Kluyveromyces lactis: one gene and its partner. The protein of the gene in region 2 interacts with the protein of the main gene of each other region in a biochemical or structural test. Links are inferred from orthologs where the notes say so. Each region holds a gene or a part of one and is shown on either strand. Other genes may lie near its edges.

The links.
Region 1: the proteins of AKL1 (region 2) and SEC2 form a complex in vitro, tested with the Saccharomyces cerevisiae proteins (2 studies listed by BioGRID, with this or other methods). The link is inferred for Kluyveromyces lactis from reciprocal best matches to the Saccharomyces cerevisiae genes AKL1 and SEC2.

The regions. Positions count from the first base shown.
Region 1 is NC_006039.1:192,875-199,316, forward strand, and holds SEC2 (guanine nucleotide exchange factor SEC2), read right to left. Parts: upstream 3,370-6,442; coding exon 1,393-3,369; downstream 1-1,392. Other genes in the region: AVT2 (Avt2p), read right to left, coding at 1-1,130; formin BNI1, read right to left, coding at 3,659-6,442. UniProt on the Saccharomyces cerevisiae protein: Guanine nucleotide exchange factor for SEC4, catalyzing the dissociation of GDP from SEC4 and also potently promoting binding of GTP. Activation of SEC4 by SEC2 is needed for the directed transport of vesicles to sites of exocytosis.
Region 2 is NC_006042.1:1,708,231-1,714,671, reverse strand, and holds AKL1 (serine/threonine protein kinase AKL1), read right to left. Parts: upstream 3,542-6,441; coding exon 1,097-3,541; downstream 1-1,096. Other genes in the region: KLLA0_F18656g (sphingolipid delta(4)-desaturase family protein), read left to right, coding at 1-84; TSC3 (Tsc3p), read right to left, coding at 471-725; ORC2 (origin recognition complex subunit 2), read right to left, coding at 3,848-5,638; DNA-directed RNA polymerase III core subunit RPC11, read left to right, coding at 6,015-6,353. UniProt on the Saccharomyces cerevisiae protein: Phosphorylates SCD5.

The DNA of each region.
Region 1 (6,442 bases), on a different chromosome or scaffold from region 2:
GTCGTTAACTTTACTGGTTCAGGGTCGTCTTTGTTGTAATATATTATGTCCCTTATCACATCTCTCAAAACGAAGATTTCCAAAGGAAACGTAGTAAGCATGTTAAATCCCAAAAGAAGTCTGGCAAAATTAATCACATTATCATCAGAAGGGAAATTATTAAGAATATTACCCACTGTTTTGTCTTTAAAGTTAAGGAACCCAGAGTAAGCAGTTGTTAAGCAAACGATGCAAGAAAGAATTAAACTGACATGTGTCAACTGATTAAATCTTTTTAAAGAGGGATTTCTCAACGAGAAAAATATAAAACTCGTGTTGTGATGGCATACTAACGCAAATGAAATCACAGAAATGCCTTGAAATATCCTTGGTGTAATAAACAACTGATGTAAATGGAAAGTTCCTTTATATTCGCCGCTTACTAGTGGAGCTTTAACAACTATGATAATAACAATTGCAATAAGTCCTAAAAGTGCAAGCATTGATGTCTTTGAAAGCTTGGAGATATCCCTGTTAAGAGATAGCGGAAACGATATGAACAAAGTCACCAATGTGATAATGACATTCCGATGAAAAAGATCTGTATGAGAAGGGAAAAAGGCGCTCAAAACATGAGGTATTGAATCTCCAATGATAATGCAAAACCCAACGCAACCACCAAATGCAAATAGGCCGTTGGATACTAAAATCAAAAGTCCTCCCCATTGACCCATTGCTGTTTCTACAGATGCTTGATAAGTACTCTTACCGGTTAATTTCAAATTGATCACAATCAGACGAATGGTCCAATCAACCAGTATGGACATTAATATGGTCGCAAATAATCCGCCGATGATTCCGCAATTTTTCATCGCAAAAGGTTGCCCTATCACTCCTGATCCTAAAATACTATTCGCCATGTTCATGAAAGCCATGTACCTGTTAGATTTTGCCTCATTAGATAAATAGATGTCATCTGTTAATGGGTCTTCTTCATTAACATTAAAAATGTTTTGGTCAACTGCGCTGTCAGCTGTCTTCGCGGTGTCATCAAATGACGTTAACTCCAGTTCAAACGGATTTGGTTCATTCTTCGATTGTTTATCAGACAGAGCTAGTTTTGCATACTTTTTATCAGCGGCTATCTGCATCTGTATTAATTATAATTCACAAAGTAGGCCATAAGCGGTTCAACTATCGTGCGCTCCGTTTGCTACTACAACCTTCTTACAGCCATATTGTTTTATCTAAGGCAAGAAGAAATACTTGCAATATATAAATTTGGTGCTTAGTCTTTTGGGTATGATAAGGATGACGAAATTTGACAAATCACGTGCATTGAAATGAAACTCTCTACATCAGGTATTTATTGTTACAAAGTATGCAAGGTAGGAGGAAAGATTGTGCATGACACTAGTTGACGACATCCTTTGCATCGTTAAAACTATCCTCTTCATCAGAATTATCCAAATTTTCAGGCTTTTCAGATTCGGGTTCAAGATCAGCGGACAGATCTTGATAAGTTTCCAATAAATCACTTGGCTCTTCAGATGATGCATGGGTATCATGAGCTGATTCGGCACTTTCTTTGTTATCATTTAATACTGTGGATGATTGTGAGGGCTGTCTTGAATGCTGTGGTTCAATTTTTTTGCTTTTTTTCTCTTCATTCTTTCCTTGTAAATCCGTGGCAGTCTTCTCATTAGTTTTCTCATTATGATCGCCAATATCATCCGATGATTGATCTGTGTGACGTATACCATTGACTGTTTCATCCACACTGATAGAGTTTGCGGTATCCGCTTCAAAATCGAAAGTTTCATCCTCCTCATGTGTTATAGGGACAGGGATATTGTTTGAGGCAATGCCTAGACCTTGTTCTTCTTCAAAACTTTTAGCTTTGGAAATATCTGTTGATGGGGCAATATCTGTAGCTACCGATTCGTCGAGAGACCATACGCCAATATGCGACCATTGTAAAGATGCTCGTAGTTGTGAAAGACGGGCCCATGACCTCTGGATATTGGTTGTTGGTAGTCCGTTTTTGTCGGCAAATTGTGGACCATTTTCTATGATAGGAGTTGAAGATTGCGATTGCTTTAATCCTTGGAAAATACTTAATCTTTTGGATTTCATTTTCGGCCTTGATGCTTTAGTTACCTCGGAGTAAGCATTGACCTTGCCTTGATGTATTGATGCCAAAGCTACTTTTTCTAGATGCCAAGCACCAGATCTCAATGATCTCAAAAATGCGAAAATTTCACAAACTTGTCTTAATTTCAACAAGCAGTAATGGCACACGGGAAATTGATTTGTTAACTCATTTTTACCATTTTCGAGCTTTTGATATGTTTTGAAGATATAAAGTCTTCCATGTTCAAGGATGTCGTTTCTATTTTCACCACAGAAAGCACATGGTTCTACCATAGCAACAGGCGGAGAATTCACCGGACGGCTAAACAAATGAGAATCTTTGTTTTCGACCTCTGGAGAGTCGGGAATACTTGGAGAACTATATCCTGTACGATATGTTTCATTTATTCCACTAATCGGCTCGATTGATACCAGTCCTTCCATCATTAAATTCATTAAATTTCTTTTTACAAGCCATCCTACTCCGGAGGCATTATCAAGTCGCAAGACGGGACTTATTTCATAGTTTATTAATCTCCTTAATAGTTTCGATTCCGAAGTGGTTTGTTGAAGGTTTTCGCATTGTGGTAGCACAGCAAGAAATTTCAAATATTCTGTGTATAGAGGAACGTCATACCTTAACGAATGCAGAAGAGGGGAAAATAACACGCCTTGAAACGACAATGAATTATCATTTACTGAGGTTAGGTTGGTGGTTGATCTATCAATTGATGTGGTAGAGGACGTCGCAGAATCTGAAAGTGAAACGTTCTTCGAAGAATTGAAATCATTTTCGAACTTGTAGAGTACGTTTTTGAGATTCTTTAACTGCATTGACAATGTATCAAGTAATAAATCCTTTTCTTTCAACTGCTCTTTGAGCTTCGAGTTTAATATTTCTACAGCATTTTGTTCTTTCCTTGCATCTGCTACCATGTTATTAGCCTCATCGAATAAAGAAGCGGTTAAGTCTTCAATTTCTTGGTTCAATGTAGCCACTTTCTTTTCGGCATCAGCACAAATTTCTTCCTGTTTCTTGAATTTTGTCTTATCGGTTTCGTATTGTAATTTCAAAGATTGTAGTTCCTGCTTCAATTCATTATATGAGTTCGCAATATTCTGCTGAGTGGAAATGGTTTTCTTAGCCACTAGTAACTGTTCTTCTAATTGGGATTGTTTATCAATGCTTTCGATTAATTGCGTAGATAAAGATGTCACTTGCAAAGATATGCGCTTTGACTCTTCTTGATCCGCCATTCTAAAAATAAGGCTACCGTCAGCTTTGCTTGTAGCAAGTACTTTCTGTTAGCAAAATCAGTGATTCATTTATTGAAGTAAATTACACAGGCGAGTATTTATGTATTTCATTAGTCCTCTGGTAATTTGGTTGATATATATTACATTCTTGATTTCATCAAACATTGGAACTAAATTCATTACCCGGTTTTAAAATGAAAATGTCAATTTCGGTATACGAATTATGTCTATGCAAGTATACACATATTGTAGTTATTAAATAAATGCTGAAATGAGTATTATGTAGTCTTTAAGCATCAATAAACTCATCTTCCGATGAGTTCGATGTGTCCATCAAATCTTGGGTTGGCGATAACGGTTTAGGATGAGGTCCAACTTCTAGGCTTCCAACAAATTGTAGTTTATTAGGTTGGTCTACTTTCACAGAAGAATCTTTTTTTTTCAGATCCCTAAGCTTGTCCTTTGCTTTGATTGGGGATGGAGAAGCGTCTTTTCTTTCGTCAGGGCCTCTTAATTCTAGTAATAAATTCCTTGCTCTATCTGCAGGGTCTTGTTTTGATGACGACAAGCTTTCAGTTTCAGGAAGGCTGGCCGATTTTTTAGCAGTAGGCGATTCGGTAAGCGTTCTATTTTGTTCCACGAAAGCTTCGATAGTACTATCAGCAGTGATGTTATCAAAAATTGATGCCCCGGATTTACCATCTAGTAATTTCTTTCTAGCCAATGCACGTTTACGAGTACTAGATGGATCTCCTTTTGAAGGAGCTGCATTTTTCAATTTATCCAAAAGCTTCTCTATATCGTCCCTATCATCAGACGGTTCTTGCGAAGTGCTTAAATTTTTTGCTGTTGCCTTACTATCTGCCTCCTGTTGTTTCCGTTGTTGATCTTCAATCATTTTCTTTCTCCTTTCGTAAGCACGTTCTTCTTCTTCCAGTTTGACATTATGAGTTTTAGCTTTCTTGAATTCGGTAATGAAATCTGCAAACTTTTGGAAGAAAGAGTTTTTAGAGAACTTGTCGTTGGCATCTTCGCCAAATTTCTTCATTAGATTTTCAAATTCCAGCAAACTTAATTTGATTTCATCGCTTAGAAGATCAGCTTTCTTTCTAGCTTCAGGTAAAACCGGTACTACCTTATTTAAAACACGATCTAACGGATGGAATTTAGAAGGGTCACTTAGGTTTCCAATTTCAATAGAACGCTCAACGTTAATTACTGACTGTGAAAATTCCTTACAATCAGTTACCAACTGTTCGATGGATATTTTTGTTACGCTAAAAATAGGCTCAAGCTCTTCCACGAAATGGCTGTATTCGGGATAATTTTCACGAATTATCTTTTCCACATAGTTCAAAAAAGTCATACTGTTCTTTTCATCTTTAATGAAGGTCAATCTTTGTAGGGTGCTTAGCTTGAACCCCTGAGCTTGCTTTGAAGAATCATTCATATAATTACCAACTGCCAAAATAACATCGAAAACATGTCTGAGACTTTCAGATTGTTCGATGCACTGAACTGCTCTATCAATTTTTCTTAGTTTAGTGACCAAATCCGAATAGTCTTTTTCATAAGTAGTTATCATAGTGATTGCTCTCATACGAGACCCCCAGTACGGTTGTAAGTTAATCATAAATTCAACATATAGTTGATCTGCACGTTGAAGTTCATTAGGATCTTTTTCGGGGGGTTTTGCATCGTCAACAGATGTCACTCCCTCCCAATCAGTACTGTAAGGATTGAAATATCGTGCCAAATTATTCGTTACTTCAATTATGGTAGGCTTTGACAAAAACTCTATTACGCTAGGAGTAGATAGGAATTCTCTATCACATTTCATTACCTTCCCAACAACATCTTTAACATCGAGGTTGGAGAACATATGTAGGTTAATACCAAATTGTTGGGAAACATCTCTCGATAAAAAGGTAATCTTTTCATTTGCTTCCTTAGACTTTCCTTTTAATGATTTGGTTTCTCTGGCAGCAAACGCTTTTTCTAATTGACTTAATACACCTCTTTCGAATAGATCGTCAGCAACCTTTTCTGCTTGAGCATTTTTCCAAATAGAATCCCCAGCATTGTCAATTTTTTCCCAGTGTAATTGTTTGAGCTTCTTCTTGGGACGAGGATACCTTTCAAAGAGAGATGGTGATTGCGGTAGTAAGGGACTTGTGACTGTCGCTTTGGGTGTGTTTGCCGATGGAAATGGTGGAGGTGGGGGAGGGGGAGGAGGAGGGGGAGGAGCAATACCAGGGGATAATGCAGTAGGGAGAGGAGATGGTACTGCAGTAAGAGTTCCACCTAATGATACCGGTAAGGGAGGTGGTGGCGGCGGTGGTGGTGGTGGCGGTGGCGAAGCAGCGGATACGATTGTTGTTGTTGGATTCGCTTCAATAGATTCGGAATCCCCGATTTCAGACTGCATTGTCGTTGGCGAATATTTATCATTCAAGATCACATTCGAGATCTTGTCGCTTCCCTGTTGAGCATCTGTCAAAATGGGTTTTTCTGTAAATTGACTGACTGGTTTTTCAGTACTCTTTAACGATGCACCAGGAGATACAGATATGCCAATACCCACAGGGACATCATCGATGTCATCTGTCATTTTAACTTTTGATTTTAGCTCAGTCAAAAACGGTGGCAGATGTTCGCTCGTCGCTGTTGGGTTCACTGTAGTATTCTTTAACCTATTCAAAAACGATTTTCTATGATAACCGCTTCCAGGATACCTAGTCTCGCGTCCCACACGACCACCATTCGTAGACGTGGCGGTCTGTTGTCCAGTTGAATACTTTTGAGATAATGATTCAAGGAATGATGATCCATTGGATACAATATCCGACCCATGAGATGCTTGTGATTGTGATGAACCATCTTCTGAAGAGGAAGATGCCGAAGACAACGATGACGAAGATGATGAACTTGAGCCGGTTTTAGGTCTATTTTTCATTTCTTCTTTCAATGCATTGAGTTCATCAATAATTGAATTCATTTCTTCTACCTTTCTTTGTACAATTGTTGGATCCAAAGAAGGTCCGCCATTACTGGACTGCGTCAGGAGCTCTTT
Region 2 (6,441 bases):
TACGATTTTATTACCCACGATGATGTCGTATTATACAATAGAGTGAAAAGAGTTAATAAAGAGTTCGAACAAAGCAAGGCTTAACTCATGCTTCCTGGGTGATTCTCGTAGACATATTATAAAAACATCAAAAACAAACACAAGAGAACCGGGAAAACGGCTCCTGATATGAAGTCATGATCACCTGCGAAATAACCGTGATACATTTCTAAATATTTATCCGTTTTTATAGATTATATAGCCCATACTTTCTAAACAAATTTACTCTTGTCGAACCTTCAGGACTTGTCTAAAAGGGAGTGTGATAAGAAATGGTTTGCTTCAATTTAATGACAATTTTTTTGTCATGGATATGTGTTGATTGGATTAGAGATCGGAGTTTTCGTTGATAACGAATGCGCTAAAAAAGGTCTTGCTCCCTCTTTCTCTGTATGCTAATGTTTCGATTGAGAAACTTTGAATTTCGAGTTTCATAGGAAAATGTACTTCAATAAACCAAATAAGCTCAGGCTGACTACAACCAGAAATATAGTGTGTAAACAAAATGCATCAAGTGAAGTCATTAAATAAAAGGGAAGATGGATATAATAAACCCAGTATAGATTCTTCACGAAATCAGCCAACTTTTCTCCTATGCCACCACGCGACATCTGCTGATTAGTCGGTGTGTAAATCATAGTCCCTCGAGACTTCTTGTATGGTTCATAAATCTTTTCTGCAGCCATTGTCTACCTTTTTCTTATCTTCAGCGTATTCCCTTCTATAAGTCAAAATTGACTCCAGTGTAGTTTAGTTCAATGTTACAATCGCCTTCTTACAGGATATCGTTTACTGATCAACCAAAATTTACCTGTATTGCTTCTGTTCTTATATTCTTCAATGTAAATATTGGTTTTTCATCAACCTTAAGAAATGTAAAGTTTAAAAAAGGTCGAGAGACGTGCCGAATGACAATAAGAATCAAAGTGTGTACATACCGTTTATACAATAATTGACTTGAATTAAAAGAATAAGGACATCGGTGCTTCAATCAGTTCAGGTTGTTTTTTTTGGTATGCTATCGGATGAACTAATTTCTTTTACCCTTGGTTACCTATCATTTGAATACACCAAAGAACGATCTTCTTTTCGTCTCCTTGGTTTCGTCTCTTGCATTAGAATTAGATGTAGAGTTGGAGTCATGTTTCATGCGTTCCATTTCTACAGATCTTCTGACACTGGTGCGGGAAAATGATGTCTTATTTTTTCGATGCTTACGTTGATCATCATTCGAAAGATTGATTTCTTGATATTTTAGGTCTAATGACCGACGCTTAGGAACTTTGGCGGGTTTCAGAAATTCTTTACTCTCAGACCCTGGAGATGTTGTTTGACGAGGTTGGGTTACAGGCTCCTTCAATTTCGGCTGCTTCAAATCGAGTGAAATGCTTTCATCTGATATAATGCTTTCTTCTAGTTCTGTATCTGACTGCCTAGTCAATGAATTCTTTGAAAGATCAAGTTGATCAAAAGTAAGGTCTAATCGTGGTTGAGCAGGAATTTGCTGCTGGCGCTCAGGCCTCAGTGAAGCTCGTGTATTCGGTTGAGCTTGAGCTTGGGGTTGGGGTTGGGGTTGGGGTTGGGGTGGAGGAAGAGGCTGAGGTTTAGATTGAGATTGAGATTGAGATAAAGGTTGCGATGAAATGATTTGATCTTGCATATTGGCTGTAATTGCGGCTGGTGTAGAATAGGGTACGTTATTTCTGGGTGGGGAAATGTCAATCAGGTATTCGTCATTCACGACGTTGCCATTATTTGGAACATCAGAAATAGGCATTGTAGTATCAAAAGTACGGGCTTGATCACTTTGTTGGATACTCAAGTTATTTAGGTTGTTTTCCTTCATCGGAGATTGTTGAAAATATGATACATTCTTTTCATTTTTTGGATGTGCAGGAGGAGTGCCTTTGAAGTATTGTTCGTTGTTCGCATCAAAGTACTCAGATGCATCCACTTCAGGCTGGAATTGTGATTGAAAAGGATTATGTTGTTTATGCTGTCTAGCAGCCGACATATTCGCAGTATTCTGTGGCTGTTGTGACGAAGGAAGTGGAGAGGGCGCCCTTATACCATGTGAACTGTGCCTTTCATTTGAATCCAATGATACTTGTGATTTGTTTGAAAGATCCGATATACTTCTGGAGCTCGATTGCTTGAGGGAGGTGGACAGTACTTGCAGATGATGATCATCTCTCTCCTTGGCGTTAGCAGATTCTAACTTTTCCACAGTTGGATAACATTCGTCCATTTTAGCAATATCAGTTTCCAGATCTTCTGGTGCTTCTTGTTGGTCGACAGATCCAATACCTTTATCAATTGGTTGTTTTGGAGCTATCTCGAAATTTTGAATGAATAAATCGTTCAACTTATCGACATCTCCGCTAGTTACCTTCTCATTTTTATATAGCTCAAACATTTGGTATTGTATTTGTTGCAATTTCAAGTGGTATTGAGAGTATTTAGCAAAATCGTAAGGACCCAATTCGTATTTATCAGTGAAAGGAACATCGCACTTCAGGATAGAACATACATGATGCATGACTTGATAAATATTCGGTCTTAGTGAAGGATTCTCCGCCAACATAATAATGATTAAGTTTATCAATTTGGATGAGTATCCATTCTGAGGAATTTCATACTTTGAATGTAAGATGGCAAACTGTCCAGTTAGCTCAAATGGAGTGGTATAAAATAGAAGTTTGTAGAGGAAGATCCCAAGAGCCCAGATATCAGATTTCTCATTGATAGGGAGACAGCGGTATAAGTCAATCATCTCAGGCGATCTGTACTGTGGTGTAGTATGCACATAAATGTTATTCGTAAGTACAGCAATATCTTGATGCGTTGATACGATTGGAAAACACATTGAAGTTGAGCCGAAATCGCAGAGTTTGAAATTATCATCCTTATCAACAAGCACGTTTTCTATTTTGATATCACGATGGATCAACGGCGTAGGTAAATAGTGCATCTGAGCAATTGCGTTCGATACATCATACATGATCTTCAATATTTCAGCTTCAGTTAACTTCGTTGCCAATTTGTTATTCATATAATCCAGCAATGACTTCTTAGGACAGAGCTCCATCAACAATAAAATTTCGAACCCTGGAGATCCATCTGGATGTCTTGATGCATTAGAGTCATAGTACTGTACGATATTTGGAGAACCCCTCAATTGCTTCATGGTCTCTACTTCGTTCCTTAGCTCATTTAAACCATTTTCATCGGGCACAATGACTCTCTTTAAACAGGCTATGTCCCCTGCCTTAAGCAGTTTGGAATCGATACCAGCATCCATCTCGTTAGTCAATTCCAAGAATTTTACCTTGTATATATTTGCGAACCCACCCTCAGCTAAATGCTCCAAAATTTCACACCTATGAGTGCCAACAACAACCTGAGTGTTGGGACTCAACAGATGCGAATTCGGAATCATAGCAGAGGTCGCCGCAGTATGTGCCACCGAATTCGGTCTGGATATAGTGTCTGATTTGCTCATCACAATATTTAGCGGACTGCTGAATTAAATACCACTACCAACAGTGCTTCCAACACTTGCTGTTAGTGTATACGATACTCTTCTTTATCGAATTCTCCCTTTTCTTCTTAACCATATAACCTTAAGTTCATTAAAATAGTAATCTTTATCGAAAACTTATTTTTCAGTGATTTTCGGAAGCAGAACTGATTCAGCATAGGAAATGTAAAAGAAATGAACCCTGGTGGACGGTATGGTAAAGCCAAATGAGATCAGAACGCTAGAGTATAAATATAAATATGTATGGTGAATTTAAATAAGGATTATTTATTGCAGCATGGAATCTATCTCAGTTATCATTTTTTCCATGTCTCCATAGCTATATTTAACATTTATGATCTCTTTACCCATTTTATTTTTCGTATTGACAGCCATCTTATGATCAATGAACTCTGATAGGATGGTTCGAAGACCCATTTCGCTCGAGACTACGAACTGTTCGGTGCATGTTTTAAAAAGTTCAGAGAACTCAATCCCAGGTGTGATTTTGTTTAAGGAACTAGATTTTGCACGAGGCTTTGACTCGTTCTTGGCATTAATCTGTCCCATTAGAAGTTGAAGAAGAATTTTGTACATTCTTTTAGAATTGTCCGTCAGGGATTCTAGTACGTATTTAGCACCGTTCGCATTAAACAAGGTACCTGAATCTTTGGAAAAGTCGATAGCATTATCGGTTTGTACTGTTTCTACGATGTACGGCTCAAAATTTGTGATATCGTGGTAAACAAAGTTGAATGATTGAGCTCTGAAATGATCCCAAAGGAAAGGAGCTTGTATATGGTCGACACTTGCTACGACACAGATTTGTTTGATTTGTGCAAGAATACTCATTCTGGTTTGAAAATGTTCTCTCCGGAATGACGGACCGTCCAAGTTATGTATCAAAAGAATCATCTTCACCGTAGGAGGTCTTTTCTTGAAATATTTTGAAAGCCTGTCCATTTGCAAGTCAATTCGATTATCCCAATAATTTGATTGACCTTGATCATCAATAGTCTCGCCCTCTACTAAGATTTTGAATATATCCAAAAAGATGTTCTTAGAGAGAGTGGTGTACCCGTTCATTACAAAAACCGGTATACATGGATCATCTTTTTGAATATCCGGGTTTTGCAACAAGGCGATCTTCATAGAAAGAAAGTTGAATGCAAATGATTCGAGGAATTTCTTCTTCGATCCGATACCATAGAATAATAACGTAAATCCCTGCAGTAACTCGAAAGTAAACTGCTGAAAGAGTGTTTCATGTATTTTTTGTACTGCCTTTGTCGATGAACGATGGAATATATCATTGGAAAGTTGAGAAAGAATGTTATATTCATCTCTGGAAATACTTGGTGCCGAGGACATCGAGTTCTTGGATCTTTTATCAGTTTTTAGGATCTTGGTCTGATCTATGAAACCTTCGAAACCATCGAAAAAATATATTTGAGATTGTTCATCAGATGTTTGGTCATTATTATCGCTCTTTGGCAACTTAGTCGGTTTGAAATTAGGGTTCAAGTTCAATTTCAGATGCTTATACTGCTGGATATCGTCGTATGCAAGATCATCGTCTATAATTTTATTCCTTTGAACTGTATTTCTGGTAGTCTTTCTTTGGGGTGATGGTTCTGCATTAAATGTAAGTTTTCTCCTAGGCGACTTATTAGGTGAGCTTTCATTAGAATCTATTTTAATTTTTAGATCCTCGTATTCGTCGTCATTGTGTATCAATTCATTAGTATCTGACACATAGTCAATGGCATCATCTTCCTCCAACTTCACCCTCTTGGTTGTTTTCCTTTGCCTTCGCCTGGGAGTTGCAGTATCTGTCGATGAGTGCTTCCTACTCTCTTCATCTTTATATTCAGTCTCAATGCTAACAGACTCTAATGTGAGCGATCGTTTGGGTGACTTAGGTCGTACCGTTTTGGAAGGCGAAAGAAAATCAAAACTTTTAAGTTTCTTCGGTGACTGATATCTTACTTTGGAAGGTGATATGAAAATGTCTTGGTGATTTACAATATCAATGTCTTCTTCTTCTTCCTCATTATCACTGCACTCTTTCTTCGTCATGTTTTCAAGGTTTAACCGCTCCAAGATAATCAAATACTCTAAAGTCTAGAGAATGGAAACTAACTTATAAATGTGGGAGTTGTTCTTCTATCAAACCTCGCCCACAGGTATTAACCCTATACACTATATTTGACATACAAACCTTAAATGTCAACATAAATATCGATTCAAAGTTAAAGGCATGAAGCTCTACTTTTTTTTTTCTGAAAAATTTCTATATGAGATGAGGAAAGAATTAAAACCTACTCTCAATAATTATAGCGATGAGGTTCATTTTAGAGTGTATGCGATAACGTGTTGAAGGAGCTTATGGGCAGGTAACGGTGCGTTAACGTATCGTGTTTGAGGAGTCTGACATTGAGAATTAAGTTGTAGGATGCTTTCGTTTTGCCCATTATGCAATAACATGTTGTTGGTATCAAAAGCTGATTCAGGTCTGTATAAACTAGCATGCGGATCATGCCCATACCAGTTTTTAATTGATGGGATAGAGGTATACGATAGAAAGAACCTCCCTAGGAAAGAAGTTGATGATGTCTTAGGTGGAGAAGGTGCATGGGATAATGTTGACCAGACAGCAGCACAATGTCCGAACCATGACCAATGTGCGGGTGAAAGAGCTTACTTCTTCCAGTTGCAAATCAGATCTGCAGATGAACCTATGACAACTTTCTACAAATGTGTTAACTGTGGTCATAAATGGAGAGAGAACTAGAGATTGTGTATTTTTGAAATTTACTTTGATTTCGATACGCATCAAACAAAATATTATAGATCTTCTTAGCAGTTATTACATCGCTTAG